3 linked regions of the Coturnix japonica genome follow. The protein of the gene in region 1 interacts with the protein of each later gene in a biochemical or structural test. Links are inferred from orthologs where the notes say so. Each region holds a gene or a part of one and is shown on either strand. Other genes may lie near its edges. The genes, in order: STAT3, MAPK8 and PTPN1.

Region 1 (4,822 bases):
CTAGAGATTGCACCAGGCTGTGGTTCAAGGTTAATGTCCTCTGGATGCTGCTGTCAGCTGGGCTGCGCAATGCCACAAAGCTCTAAAAAGCAGCTTAACTCCTTGTCGGGTGCCAATCAATGTGTGTCATCTCCCCACGTCTCATGGTGGGGCTGATTCCCCTTTTTCTCCTCTAAGAACTATCCACAGAAATAGAGGAGGGGTCGCATACAACAAACACCAGCTGCTCTGGGGGGGACCCGGGGCACAGAGCTGTGGCCCCCACATCTCCCCCCCAGTCAGTGCCCATCTCCAGTGCCTCTGGGACAGCTCTGGTGTCAGCCATGTGCCAGCCCTGTGCCTCCTGCTGACGTGTCACTTGCTGGGGTTGCCTGCAAAAATCAAACCACTTTCTGGGGGAAGTGAGCCCGTGGTGAGGCTCAGTGGTGCTGCTGTGTCTGTGCTTCCTGCACAGCTTGCTGTCGCTCCTTCGGCTGACTCTGACTCCTATTGATGTGCGAGCCGCTCACTTGAAAATTGCTCCTTCCTCGTTTCTGTTGCTTCCTGGCAGTCTCCGCCTTCCGCACTTACTGTAAGCGCTGCAGCTCCTTCCCTGCCCTCGGGAGCAGGCGCAGGGCTGACTGCGGGGCTGCGGAAGGGGCTGGCAGCAGATCAAAGCCCCGGCCCCGCTGCTGTGACCTGCATGCCCGAGCCTTTCACTCTTCCCCCGGGCACGAAGGTAGGAAAGCTCTGGGAAATGGTGCCTCTCTAGGAGGAAGTTTATCCGAAGGCAGGTGCTTGGGAAAGGTTTTTTTTCCAAGGAAACCGAGCGAGGCTTTGTGCCTGTCTGTGTCTGTGACCATTCTGGGGGTTCTTATGGCTGAGGTCCTGCTTAGGAATGGGAGAGGCTGGAGCTGGGCAGCCAGACACACTGCTCTGCTCTCAGATGTTTTGGATTAACTTTGAAGGGAGGATGAGTCAGGATCCGGGTGTTCCTCAGCTCCAGCTGGGGCAGCGCAGTGGATCTTGCCCTGGTTTTGGGTACATTTCCAGCCTGGAGCCCTGAGCAGTTGCATGCTGACCAATCTGCTGCCCACACCGACTCGTGCCCATTAGTCCCTCAGTGGCAGTGTGCTTTGGGTCTGTGGTTCCACCTCCTCTCAGCACAGGTGACAGTGATGGCAGCAGTGCTGAGCTGGGAGCTGACAGCTGCTTGTTGTGGGAGGGTTTCCTCACTGTAGCTCGGCTGGGAGCTGGAGGTCAGCGTTGTCCCGGGGCTCATGGCAGGGCAGAGCTTCCTGCCTCTGGATTGTTAATGCAGGAGAACTGGAGCTGGCTGTTGGCTGCGTGCTGAGCATCAGGTGGTGAGGGCAGGTGGGCAGGCAGCCCTCTCGCTGCTGGATCAGTGCAGAGCTCAGCCCCGTGGGCACAGCCCAGCGCACTGCAGCCTTGTAGCCCTTCCCTGTTTCCCTTCCCAGGGTCAGCCTGAGCCAAGCCGTGTGCTGTGCAGGGGGGCAGCCTGTGGGCTCAGGGGCGCTGTGCTGACCTGCCTGTCCCTGCAGGGTTCCGGAGCCGGCCAGGATGGCGCAGTGGAACCAGCTGCAGCAGCTCGACACGAGGTACCTGGAGCAGCTCCACCAGCTTTACAGCGACAGCTTCCCCATGGAGCTGCGGCAGTTCCTGGCCCCGTGGATTGAGAGCCAGGACTGGTAAGGCACTGCCCAGCTCTGGCACATGACTGCACTTGGGACCCCCAGCTGGGGACAGCGGCAGGTGCCAGGCGGCTCTGGAGGGACTCTGCCAGCTTCTCTGGGTGCTGGGTCTATTCTTCCTCCTTGCGTTGCATGCAGTGTGAAATGGAGTGGGAGTCTGTGTGTTTGGTGTCAGACCTCAGACTGGGAGAAAGGGGAAATCCACAGCAGAGGTGTCAGGGTTTACGTCAAGCTCTGTTCTAAACAAGGTTGGAATTGAGGTGCTTGTGCCTGCTGTCTTCCAGCATCTGAAACACCTCTGTCTCCCTGCTCTCATGGGAGCAAGGCCAACTGTGGCTGCATCCTGATGTAGGTTAGGCAGTCACTGGGATGCTGGGCTGTGTGTGGGGCAGCAGGTGTTCACAGAGCTGCCCTTCCTGCAGCACTGTGCTGTGCCTCCCCTGGGCTGGGTGTAAGGGCTCTGCTGTCTCCTCATGCAGGGCATATGCTGCCAACAAGGAGTCACACGCCACGCTGGTGTTCCACAACCTGCTGGGGGAGATTGACCAGCAGTACAGCCGCTTCCTGCAGGAATCCAATGTCCTGTACCAGCACAACCTGCGGCGCATCAAGCAGTTCCTGCAGGTGAGGTGGGAGGCAACATTCTGTTACTGAAGTGCAGTGGCCTCCTTGTCACAGCTCACAGATCCAGCCCTACAGCACACAGAGATCCCAGCAGTTATAGTTTGAAGGCTAACCCTGAGGCCTTCGATGTTTTATAGAGCAGATATTTGGAGAAGCCGATGGAAATAGCCCGCATCGTGGCTCGCTGCCTGTGGGAAGAGTCACGGCTCCTCCAGACAGCTGCCACTGCAGCCCAGGTAGGTGACTCAGGTGTCCCTCTGCCCACCCAGCAGCTCTGCAGAGCTTGGTGCCATCAGGAAGCTCTGGTCTGAAGCTTCTTACATGTTTCTTTCAGCAATGGTAGTTCAGAGGGGTGCTCAAACTGCAGTGAAGGGCAGATGACCCCCAGCTCTCTGGGGTGCATCAGTGCTCTGCGCTAAGTTTGTTTGTTTGTGTAGTAAAGGGTTTGACTTTATGCAGAACTTCCTGAGTTACAGCCCAGTTCTGATGCCCTCCTTTGTCCCTTCTACAGCAAGGGGGACAGGCGACACATCCAACAGCAGCTGTAGTGACAGAAAAGCAACAGATGCTGGAGCAGCATCTGCAGGATGTAAGGAAGAGAGTTCAGGTAAGTGCTGCCTGGGCACCTTCTTCCCCTGGTACTTCTAGGAGTGCTGTGGGGATGTTGTACTTTGAACAAATCCCATCTCTTGCATTGCAGGATCTGGAGCAGAAGATGAAAGTGGTGGAGAATCTCCAGGATGACTTTGATTTTAACTACAAGACTTTGAAAAGCCAAGGAGGTATTAAAGCTCATTAGCATCTGGCAAGCCAAAGTGTGTTCCTGCAAGGAAACATGCCGGAGGGTGTGTTCCAGCCCTCCCAGTGCCTCCTACCCAAGCTTGAAGGGTGGGTTAGTGTTAGGGCATTTGCATGGCAATTGGAGATAGTGACAGAAACAAAAAGAAGCTGACAGGGCCTGCAGGGGATCCAAACCTGAGCTTTGCCTGTGGAAGGAGAACTGCATGAGAAGGTGATAATGCTGCTGTGTATGCAGAAATGCCAGAAAGGTGCTTGGAGGCAGAGCTGTCAAAGGCTGAGATCACTGCTTAACTACTGATGGCTTCCTAGAATGTCTGCTCATTTGTAGTCAGCTTTGTGGTCTTTGTGATGTTTGGGAGGGTAGGAGGAGTGCATTTGTTTGGCTGAAGCTTTGTGTCCTCTTTGCACAGATATGCAGGATCTTAATGGAAACAATCAGTCAGTGACACGTCAGAAAATGCAGCAACTGGAACAGATGCTCACGGCACTGGACCAGATGCGAAGGGTATGTCACGCTACTGGCCTTCCAGATCCCTCCAGGGTATAGGTGTGCTCTTATTCTGGGATATGGATTTGATAGTCATACATGGGTATAATTAGAAGAGCAGCGCTGGCAATAAATCAGCGGGCAGCTCCACTTCTTGTGATCATGAAACTTATGGGACATGGAGGGAGTCAGAATGCTGAAGGTCCTGCTTTCTCGTTTGGCAGGGTATTGTGAGTGAGCTGGCAGGACTGCTGTCAGCCATGGAGTATGTGCAGAAGATGCTGGCAGATGAGGAGCTGGCAGACTGGAAGAGACGGCAGCAAATTGCCTGCATTGGTGGCCCTCCAAATATCTGCTTAGACCGGCTCGAGAACTGGTAAGATTGCACTGGACCCTGGAGAGGCAGAAATCAAATGCCAGCACCAAAAATGAGTTCTCTGCCATTGGCAACGTCTTTGCTAAATGGCTGCTGATGCCTGCAGGTGTAAATGTAATCTGATAGCCACCCTTATACTTGATAGTGGACAATAATGCTGGATTCATTAGCTCCAGGTTTGTGAGATTGTAAGGCTGGTGGCTTGCGTGGCTGTTCCTGTGCCCTTGGTTGGTATAACGGCTCAGAACGTTGGCTCATGCAGGTTTCTTTCATAGTCTGTGGCCTAGAAAAATGCACTACGGACATGTTCTGTTCTGTGCTGGTTTGGTACAGTGAATGTCCTCTCTTGCAGAAGTGAGGGGAGGAGGAGGGCTCTGTGGGCAGGGACTGTGCAGGACTTGGCAGCCAGAGCTAATGCTGGTTCTTCCTGCTCCCTAGGATAACCTCTCTTGCTGAATCACAGCTACAGACCCGGCAGCAGATCAAGAAACTGGAAGAGCTGCAGCAGAAGGTGTCCTACAAGGGTGACCCAATTGTCCAACACCGGCCAATGCTGGAGGAGCGGATTGTGGAGCTGTTCAGGAACCTGATGAAAAGGTGCCTGGGGCTGAGAGGGAGCTTGTGACCTGTTCCTTGGTTACAGGTAGTGCATGAAGGGGTGAGCACTGTGTGCTGGGGTGGGGCTGAGGTTTGACTGCATTTTATTTGTCTTCTCCTACAGTGCTTTTGTGGTGGAGAGGCAGCCCTGCATGCCCATGCATCCTGACCGGCCTCTGGTCATCAAAACCGGTGTGCAGTTCACCACCAAAGTCAGGTGGGTTGCTGGCCCCTGCGATTCCTCTG
Region 2 (5,314 bases), on another chromosome or scaffold:
TTTGTCTTCCTACCTTCTAGCAGCATACTTGTTTACTCAGACACAAGGGAATTAATCAGGCTGAAAAATAGTCCACATGGAAGAATTTATTTATTTCTTTTCAGCTCATCAGTTAGTTCCTTGATCTGTTTTGCCCCACAGCAGCCAACGAGGAGAAATGGTGGGGAAAGATTGCTTAAGCAAGATAGCCACTGCATGTGAAACTATGGTGTGACATTACAGAAATAGAAACACTTGTAATTGCTTTGAAAACAAGGATTTTATCAACCAGTCCACTGATACTGCAGTCAGTGTTAAAAATAACATCCATGAGTTAAAATGGCTATTTGTGTATTTTCATACAAATAAATCATACACATGGAGCAATGTCCCCTTAAACAGAAAACACAAAAAAATTATCTTTCCTCAAGGAAAGTCAAAAGCCTTTATCAGGTTTAAAAGTAAAATTCCCACCTCGATCTAAACAAGACATTTATTGAAAATGATTTGGAAATTACATATTTGGATGCTTAATTCAGCAATGTAAAGATTATTTTCTAGAATCCACGAGTGTGCTCTGATGAACTTCACAGCAGGAAAACTACACAAGTAGTTTCAATTTGATTTTTAAACAGCTTTCAAGGACCAAGAGATCTTCCCATAATATAAACAGATTTCTGTTTCTGCAGGTTTTGAATGAAGAACAACTCAGGGTTTATTTGTTTGAAGAAAACATTTACAGAGAGAAAATATTCTGTCTTTATTAAAAATCTATGATGAAAAGCAGTAGAAAAAACAAACAAACAAACAGAATTACAGAATTATCAAGGTTGGAAAAGACCTAGAAGATCATCCAGTCCAACCAACACCAATATTTCCCAGTTAAAACATATCCCTCAACACAACATCCAAACTTTTCTTGAACACAAAAATTACATTAAAATAACACTTTTTAAGAACACTGTAAACACAGCACGTTCTCCCACAGGTAAAGAGGAGGAAGAGAATGAAGTTTAAGGCATGGAATACTAAACTCTTCATCAGACTATCAAAGTGATTTGCATTTATCAAGAACACGGGAGAAAACTGCAGAAAGGAAGAGGTATGTATGCAGGTACTTTCTATGCATCTTTTAAAGAATAGCCATTCAGATAATTTGGCGGTTGAGGAAGAAAGGACAAACCAAAACAACAAAGGGAATATAAAAGGAACAGATAACCCGTTAGTAGCTGAAAGAAACCACAAGGAACAAGTTCTGGTACATTGGTGGAAGAAAATGACTTCAATGGATGAAATACGCAAACACGTGGTCAATTCCCGGTAGTTTGGTAACAGGGAAACAATGTAACAAGTTTACCTGAAGAATTTGGAAGGTTGTTACATCTGCTCTCCCACGCAGCCAGCTAAAGCCTTGCTCCCTAATGAGCTTTCAGTTACTGGAAGTTAAAACACAAAAGCCACACATACAAAAGGGCAGCTGTACTTCTACCTAGAACGAGTAGTCCCCAACCACAAAATTCAGTACCGCAGTAAACGGGTTTTGTCCGAGTCGCTGATCAAGAAGTCTCCATGAAGTATACGGCACTTCATGAGATTATATTGTATCTTGTGAAGTGGAGGCACCCCTGGTCAAAAAAGCTTGGGAGAGCAGAGGACACAGTTAACATTCCCGTTCAAAGTTAAGGCAACGATTTCACACAGATTCAGCTCTGTGTTAATAAATGTCTGTCAATAAACGTTTGATTCTTCCCTCCTGTCACACTTTCAGCCAGTTGGCCCTGAAAACTGCCAGTATCTGACAGACTGGAATGTGCCTGATGCCTGTACAGGCATCACGTGTGTTGCAGCACTCTACCAGAACCAGACATTCCCATCAGAGCTTCTTGGCACTCAAACTCAAGGGAGGAAACTGAGACCACAGAGCAAAAGCTACAGCAAAGAAAGGAAACTGATGTGGGATGATCACTGCTCCTATCTAACCAGCCCATGCTACACATCTTTGAATCAAGTGGGGAATGACAAGATGGCTTCCCCCACATGTTGAGATCATAGAACAAGACTACTCAAAATACAACCCATTTTTCTTTGCTACTGCTGAAGGAAGGGCTTCCCTTCACTATACAGAAGGAATACTCAAATTCATCAGTGAGCTCACTTGGATACTATCCTTAACCAGGTTGGGCCCAGATTCTCTTCATGTAATAACACTCTGAACTAGTTCAAAGTTATCTATCAACATATCTGCAGATATACAGATACAGTGAGGTGCATTATCGCTTCTACATGTGCTTCTGCCCTAGAAGCACCTCTGCTGGCATCTTCAGAAACAAGGCTGTGTCTCAGCAGCTCAGCTGTGTGCCATTACAGCCAAGTCTCCACACCTATACAAAGAAGCCAGCTGTAATGTAAGCTTGCTAAATGCTACAAGCACATGCCCAGGAGGCAAGCAAAACTCACCTTCCACAAACCAGTACAGCACCTTTTGTGTTATCAGATAGGCCAAAACACACAAGGTTTTTGGACTGTCTGAAAGACTTCAGCAAGCCTGCTCTGCATGATACAGAAATTCAAAGCCATGCCACATGTATAGCTGGGGGAACTAAACAATTGAGTGGGACTTGTATCTGTGGGTTATCAGCAGTGCCTGGGCCAGGATTCACTGGTGAAAGCACTGCACTGAACATAAGAAAGCAGGCTACAGGAGCCAAACTGGATGCTGATAATGACATGGAGAAAACAAAGTGCAAAGAAAAATTGCAAAGAGCTCACTGTTTTTACAAGGATTACAAAAACTAAAAGGCAAAAGAATCAAAGGCATTGCCCACCTTCCCCAAGCCCTATAATCGGAGCAGTTATGGGAAGTGCTTTTTGCTTCAGAAGGCGTTTTGAAAGCAAGGTCATGGAAGTTCAGCACAGAGGTGGCTGAGCACGGCTGCGCTCGCACCTCCCCGCACCGAGGGCCGGGCTGCCAGAGCTGCCCACGGCCTGGGCTGCTGCCCCCCGCCCGGGGAAGAGGAGGAGCCCGGCGCCGAGGCTGCTGCCCCTCCTGTCACATCAACAAAGAGGCCCCCGCCATTATCCGCCCAGGCACCTCCAGCAGCCCCCGCACCGCCGGGCCGCAGCGGAGCCCGGCGCGCAGGGAAGGTCACGAACGCAGACAACCCCGCAGGAAGAAAAGGGCCACGCCACGCTCGCTGCCGGCCCGCTGCCCCGCGCTGGAACGTAAACAAAGCGGCCAGGCCCGGCCCCCGCAGCGCTGCCGCTCCCTGCACACCCGCCCGGCTCCAGCCCCGCTTCCCAGCCGCCGCCACCGCCATCCCTCCTCAACCCCAGGCACCGCACATACCACCTCCCGTCGCCTCCTTCCTCGGCCGCTGAATAATGAACCGGGGCCGGGCCGCGCACACGCACCGCGCTTCGTCCGCCCGGCGCGGCTGCGGCTGCCCGCCCCCTCCGCTCGCTCCGCCCGCACGCCCGGCCCGGCCCCCGCCGCCCCTGAGCCGCCCCTCCGGGCACGGGCCCTGCGGGAGGCTGCAGGCTGCCAGCGCTGCCGCTGAGCCCGGTCTGGTGTCTGCTGGGCTGTGCCTGCTCCTTCCCAGCATTATGCCCTGTACCCGGGCCTGCTGTAACAAAACTGCGTTTTTCAGGTGTTTGCCTTCATGCTCTCCTCCGTTTCCTAGTGTTCCCAGACATCCTGCAAGGCCTTGGCAGTCCTAGCCTTCCCCCTGAACATCTGGAATGGCAGTGCTTTATCTCATTGCTGGGTATCTGGAGTGGTGTAACATCTTCTGTATCTGGTTTGGCACCGTTTGTTCTCTAAGCTTTAGGCAGCTATTTGTGAGATTTTGAGTTATTACCACCACCTTTAGCTCTTGGCACCTCCCATGGGTGCTCTGCTTTGTTTTTACAATGTTCTGTTTGTTATTCTTCCTTTCCTTTCCCTTCCCTCCTCTGTTTTTCTCCTTTCAACCAGCAATACCCCTGTCTACAGACTCCATACCTTGAAGTCATGTCAATATGGCTGAAACAAGCCTTTGTATACTTACACTGCGTAGTACTAAAAATAAAACCTCCGGAAGAGTCTTTAAAAATACATAAAATCTACCAGTTAGGCACAGGGCACAGTGAATTGGACGCTTCACATCTTACTGTCAAACATTGGAATGGCTTGTGCCACATTTTTGAAGATGCAAAATAATGCAGTGAGATTGTCTTTCCACATCTCTGAAACAAAAAATAGATTTTTAACTAGTAAGGATACTGCTTCAGATGTTCCAGTCTTACCCACTGTCATAATGTCAAAAGCTGTATACTACTCACATTCCCATTTTATGGAAATATCTGCACTGTCTGACCTTAAAATTCTCAATACAAACAATCCTATTTCAACCCCTTAAGTTAGAAGTTGTTCCTTTGCAGTTCCCTATAGACCTATACATAACAATTTATAGGAAAACAAAATAAAACAAAACTGTTGTTCAGACTGCTCCCAGGTGTCCCTGGATCCCACTACACTGTAAGCATGTTACCAAGGTAGCCACTCCTGCCTCACCACCTGTCATTCCATGAGACAGACCCAGAAGTGACATAGCCAGCTTTCAGGTTTGAGACTTCCTGTTGAATTATGTTAGATCATGATCAGACATTGCATTCCCTGCCGTGTTTATGTGTGAAAGAGGCAAAGCTCAGCTTGGCAGAAGGAGCAGTATGAAACCCCAGACAACGCAGCACAGCTTAGTCTGTCTTAGATCATACCCATCTTCACTTGCAGAATATTGTAAATTATATATTATATAATATTATTTGGTTATGTTACCAAACAAACCTCCACTGAAAGAACTAGGTGGGGAGAATCATGTTCAGCCTCTATCGTATTTGCAACAAGGCTTGTGGCCTTGCAGTTCACTGATGTTAATCTTTGTCTTTTGGGTGGGTTATTGCTCCTGATCTTGAGGTAAGACCACATTAAGATTTGCAAGTAAAGAAGGATGTCAGCCCCTTTAAGGTATAAAACTGTGCTTTGCTTACGATTCAGATTTGTCACATTTATTTTTCAGGTCGCAATCAAAATCTCATTAAGATTTTATAGTTGGCACTTTTTAACAGAGAGGTATTTCTAAGTGACTTTTTAACTCCTCAGTTTGGCTGTCCAAGCAGCATTAGTCTTGGCTTTGGATTGCTGCTCTAAATTATGTGGTTGTCGAGTGTCTAATAAATATTTTTATAGAGAAACAGTGCCAGAAAAATCTGAATTATGTCAAAATACTGAAACCTTTCTCGCTTCCATACGTAGGTATAGTGGTATGTTTATGAACATCATATTAAAACATTTAGA
Region 3 (4,822 bases), on another chromosome or scaffold:
AGATAATGTCTGAGGTTCCCAGCAGTGCTGAGTGTGGATGTTGTGGCATTCTAGCCACAGTTCTGTTCTGCCCACAGACTGCTCAGTACTGGAAGGTAATCGATATTTGCTCAACTGTGAGCATCTTGTGCCAGGAAATGTGAGAAAGCAGATACAAATTTGGTTGGTTGAGTGACAGCAGAGTAAGGATTTGGCTGTTGCAGTTTGCTTGGTGTACTAAGAGGTCTGTCTGCCCTTGGCATGTTTTGGATGGTTGTACCTCAGCATTGTACAGGATGTGAGCAGCAGTGAGTCAGTTGTCATGGAAGAAATGTTCGAGATTTGGAATAAGGTGTAAAGGAACAACCTGTGATGGTGTGTTTGTCTGCAGAAAGTGGAAGGGGCTTCTGTAGGTTGCTGTACACCATTCTGAGAACTGTAGGAGAGTATGTAGGAAAGTGTTTGCTAGGAAAATGAATGTGTGAGGGATTGTATTTGCTCATTTGAACATTGTTGTAAGCAGCTGTAATTCGAATAGTTGCAAAACTGTGTATCCAGCTGAAAGACTTCATAAGCACTGTCTTTTACAGATGCAAGAAACCAGAGAGATTCTGCACTTTCATTATACTACGTGGCCTGACTTTGGAGTCCCAGAGTCTCCTGCTTCATTCCTCAATTTCCTGTTCAAAGTGAGAGAATCTGGCTCACTTAACCCCGAGTATGGACCTGTTGTGGTGCACTGCAGCGCAGGAATTGGCAGATCAGGAACTTTCTGTCTGGTCGATACGTGTCTTCTGCTGGTAAGATCTGCTGTGGAGATGATACGCTGTTTCAGTAGAGTTCCCTTGAACAGTGGTTTCTTCTGGCCTATGAAGAGCTGTGGTGTTTTCTGTGGAGTATTTTTGCACGTTATTTCTCTTATCTTACTCATATTCTAGTTTAAGACAGTCTTTCATTTTAAAACTAAGGTAGTGCAATCTTCCATTTCTGTGTTTTTTCTTAGTGTATTAATTCTGCAATAGGTAGAATGGTCTGAAAGCTGTTCTGTGAAGCCAGTCATCGTATTGAATCTCATCAGAGCATAAAGTGTGTTCCAAATTTTTTATCTTCAGATGGACAAACGGAAAGATCCTTCTTCTGTGGATGTTAAACAGGTTCTCCTAGAAATGAGGAAGTACAGAATGGGACTTATACAGACAGCGGATCAGCTTCGTTTCTCCTACTTAGCTGTAATTGAGGGGGCAAAATTCATTATGGGGGATGCTTCAGTGCAAGTGAGTATTATGGACTGTGGAACCAGATGTATAGTAAGCTGCAACGCGTTTTTTAACTGTAGCATAAGAACAAAACGAGCTTTAAATTCCTTTGGCTTCAATACATTTTTATATTATGCAGTACTAAAATACAACACCTCAGAATACTTCCTGTAGTCCTGTAGACTAATAGGTGGTGCCTGTGTACTTTTCAGCACCGTAACTGGGGCGTAGATTGGCTGCATCTGCCATGTCTTTCATCAGCTTTCTAAGAAGGCAGAAATTTAAGTACTGCAATTAATTCTTACAGCAGAACTAGCAACATAGGTTCTATTTCATGCTATTTAAAATTTCCAGATGTAGATTAAAATTTCTTCCTTTTATAGCTGATGTCTTCAGTGTACTGCAGATAGCTTAGATTTTGTATTATTTTTGTGTCTCTTTTTTCCCCTTTTTTTCAATGCAAATGAACAGGCATGCTAAAAATAAATGAGAAGGTAGAGTGTAACACCCCTGCCAACTTAAAGTTACAGTAGTTTACATAAAATAAACAGTGGAAAACGTAACAGGGCATTTCCTTCCCTGAAGGAACAGTGGAAAGAGCTCTCCAATGAAGATCTGGACCCACCACCTGAACATACCCCACCTCCTCCCCGACCACCAAAGAGAACCTCAGAAATGCACAATGGAAGGATGCACGAACATGCAGAATTCTTTCCTAAGCATCAAGTGGTAGAGGAAGAGATTAGATCCTCAGTCAGCACTGTTGAAGAGATGGTTCCAGATGGCAGAGGTTTTTCATCTGTGCCACTGATCACAGACAGGTAATTAATTTAGTTTCCCACTTCAGCTTGTTCATAAATGGCATTTCATATGGAAAATCCTGAACAGACGCTGACTGAATTAGTATAACAGCAGTTCCAAAACAAAGTCTGTGCATATTTTATGGAAAAGTTCTTCAGCATTTTTTTTAAATCGAGATCCTGCTGTAGTGAGAGAAGTGGCAGCAGAGCAAGGTGGCTTAGTCTCAGTTTACATGTGATGTGTACGTTACATTCAGTTACACAGGAGCTCTTTCACTGGAGGTGGAGCTGAGAGCTGGGCGGATCAGCTTTAGCTGCACTTAGAAATGTGAAATTAATCCTAAGCAAAGCTGGTTTTGATGAAAGGAGTAGAAGGGGCTCACGAACAGAGAACTTTTCTACCTGTCATTGCAACCTCAATTGTCAGGTGTGACAAACACACAGAAGTGCTGTATGACTGTGACCTGTTGGCCACTAGATGGCCCTCCTGCTCCATCCGAGTGGTGTAGAGCTGGTTAACTCATTTCTAAATTCAGATGGAAGTAGCAATGCAGCAGATCTGAAAGTTAAAGTTAATAAGCCTCTCTATATTTCAGTATACTATCAACATGATGGAGGTCTTTATCTAGAAAAAACGCATTAAATCGTATTAAAGATGGAGAAACCTTCAGTTCCATCATTAAAAGCCATCACAGTGCTCCTGGCCACTCTTACAATAGTACAAACCAACCATAATTTCAGCACTTTCTGACTCTTTGAGCAGCTGATTTCAGAACCTTGTTCTCCTCAGCTGGATGCAGGTTGGCCCTTTCTTGTCTCAGTGGCTGCAGAGACAGCAGATTTAGGATGAGCAGTGGAAGTAAGAGGTGGTTAAGGTTGGGTCAGCTCATTCTTTAAAGGGAAAATCCAGCACTGAACGTTTATTTATTTGTCCTTAAGCACTAGTCAAGACACTGAAATTCGGAGGAGAACTGTTGGTGAAAACCTGCACGTCTCAGCACACAGAGAAGAGTCGATGAAGTCAGAAAGCATAGAAGAGGATGATGAGAACATGATGACAACTTGGAAGCCGTTTCTAGTGAATATATGCATGTTCACCTTCCTCACAGCAGGAGCTTATCTGTGTTACAGGGTATGTTTTCACTGATGGACATGCCAGCACCACTGACCCCGCAAAAAACACCAACAATTTGATCGGTTTGTAATAAGCTTCTGTACAAGAAAGCTCCTTGAGGCACGTGAGCCTCATCTCCGCAGAGGCTCTTAGGTTGAAAGGCCAGAACTTTGGGCTTAAAGAGAGAATTGATGCACTAGGGTTTTACTTAGCCCTGTGGTCCCAAGAACGTGATATTCTGATCTCAGGGCCTTAAAATATTCAGGAGTAAACAGAGAAAATGCCAAATAGTCTGTTTTTGTTTTTGTTTTTTGGTTGTTTTTTTTTTTTTAACTAAATAATAGAATTACAACACATTGTTGTTCTTAGCCTTTTTTAAAAAGCCAGTTCTTTTTCTTTTGTGTCTCAGAAAAGCCAGGCGCAAACAAAACTTGCTTGTACTCTCCAAGTGTTGTAGCCAAATACATCACTTACATCGATGAGTTCCCGAGAAAAGAAAAATAAACCCACATACCTGGAGAATGTAAACCTTTTGGAAGGGGCGGGGGCAGCTGCGGTTGGGTGGGTTTGGGGTTTGGTTTGGTTTTATTTTTAACTTGCTTCATCTGTTAAGGACTGAGTTGTGGGCAGTGCCTGTGGTATTGATGTATTTAATCTTGGCAAAACTTTTCTGAAAGAGCTTATTGTTTTACGTTGTTTATAGAAACAGGCTTCTGCATTTGCTCAGGGTATGTCAACATGTCCAGCTCTTTTTTTCTTTTTCTTTTTTAATATAAAAGAAATGTATCTTCTCATTGACTTTTGTTGCGCTCTACTTGCACATATACCTATTTACATTGCACCATCCTTTGTAAAGCTGTTTTTACATTTGTATTCTGGGTTAGGAGAAATTGAGGGAAGGGAAAGAAACAGGAAAGAAAGTTCAACCAAAATATGTCCACCAGCATTTTGAAGCTGTTCAGTTGGCATTCAGAAGGACCAGTTCATAAACCTCATCATTTGGAATGTAAGACGCAGTTTCACTGTACACCTGCTCCGTGGATAGCGTGCTTTCTGCCACAGCTGGGAGGTGATGTACTCAGAGGCACTGCAGGTAAGGAGCAGGAAAGCATGTCAAGAAAACCAGAGCCGTCAATGCTGTGGCAGCTTCCTTAAGACATAGAATGTTCAACAGAAGACATGTTGGTCTCAGAACGTATCAGCTGGCTTTTGATGCAAGCATTTGTGTGTTTTGCTTATTTTGAAGCAAAGATTTGAAATACTGGTGTAGTTTGGCTTGAAGATCTGCAGTTCAGTGACTGCTGGACACAGAGGTGTGTGTGGATACAGACTGCAGACACAGTTGTTGCTGTCCTCAGTAACGTAAGCTAAGAGATGGGTGGTTTTGTTCTGTGCCCTGCTGTGCTGGGGGTTCTGCTCAGCTGGAGCCCAGCACTTGAATAATCTGAGTGTTTGCAAATAACGATTTGGGTGCATTGGTAGAACTGTGACTGGAAGCTTGCATTGCACTGAGCAGTCTTAGTCAATGCTGCTCCTCACATTAGTACTTAATTATTGTAATTTAAACAGTAGCAGCAAAGAATTACTTGCTGATGTCACGGAACAGAAGAGTAAAATTCACTACTAAAAGGTGTCGTGAATGAGACTAAACCATGTCGGCTGATCTGCAACAG

What was found.
Region 2: of the proteins of STAT3 (region 1) and MAPK8, one has a biochemical effect on the other in vitro, tested with the Homo sapiens proteins (2 studies listed by BioGRID). The link is inferred for Coturnix japonica from reciprocal best matches to the Homo sapiens genes STAT3 and MAPK8.
Region 3: of the proteins of STAT3 (region 1) and PTPN1, one has a biochemical effect on the other in vitro, tested with the Homo sapiens proteins (2 studies listed by BioGRID and IntAct). The link is inferred for Coturnix japonica from reciprocal best matches to the Homo sapiens genes STAT3 and PTPN1.

The regions. Positions count from the first base shown.
Region 1 is NC_029542.1:4,515,449-4,520,270, reverse strand, and holds part of STAT3 (signal transducer and activator of transcription 3), read left to right. Parts: intron 1-1,541; 5' UTR 1,542-1,560; coding exon 1,561-1,688; intron 1,689-2,170; coding exon 2,171-2,315; intron 2,316-2,452; coding exon 2,453-2,551; intron 2,552-2,826; coding exon 2,827-2,922; intron 2,923-3,015; coding exon 3,016-3,097; intron 3,098-3,526; coding exon 3,527-3,621; intron 3,622-3,827; coding exon 3,828-3,979; intron 3,980-4,417; coding exon 4,418-4,576; intron 4,577-4,700; coding exon 4,701-4,793; intron 4,794-4,822. UniProt on the Homo sapiens protein: Signal transducer and transcription activator that mediates cellular responses to interleukins, KITLG/SCF, LEP and other growth factors. Once activated, recruits coactivators, such as NCOA1 or MED1, to the promoter region of the target gene.
Region 2 is NC_029521.1:15,676,019-15,681,332, reverse strand, and holds the start of MAPK8 (mitogen-activated protein kinase 8), read right to left. Parts: upstream 3,437-5,314; 5' UTR 3,326-3,436; intron 1-3,325. UniProt on the Homo sapiens protein: Serine/threonine-protein kinase involved in various processes such as cell proliferation, differentiation, migration, transformation and programmed cell death.
Region 3 is NC_029535.1:12,140,722-12,145,543, reverse strand, and holds part of PTPN1 (tyrosine-protein phosphatase non-receptor type 1), read left to right. Parts: exon of another isoform or gene 1-569; coding exon 570-779; intron 780-1,091; coding exon 1,092-1,253; intron 1,254-1,820; coding exon 1,821-2,056; intron 2,057-2,974; coding exon 2,975-3,182; 3' UTR 3,183-4,822. UniProt on the Homo sapiens protein: Tyrosine-protein phosphatase which acts as a regulator of endoplasmic reticulum unfolded protein response. Mediates dephosphorylation of EIF2AK3/PERK; inactivating the protein kinase activity of EIF2AK3/PERK.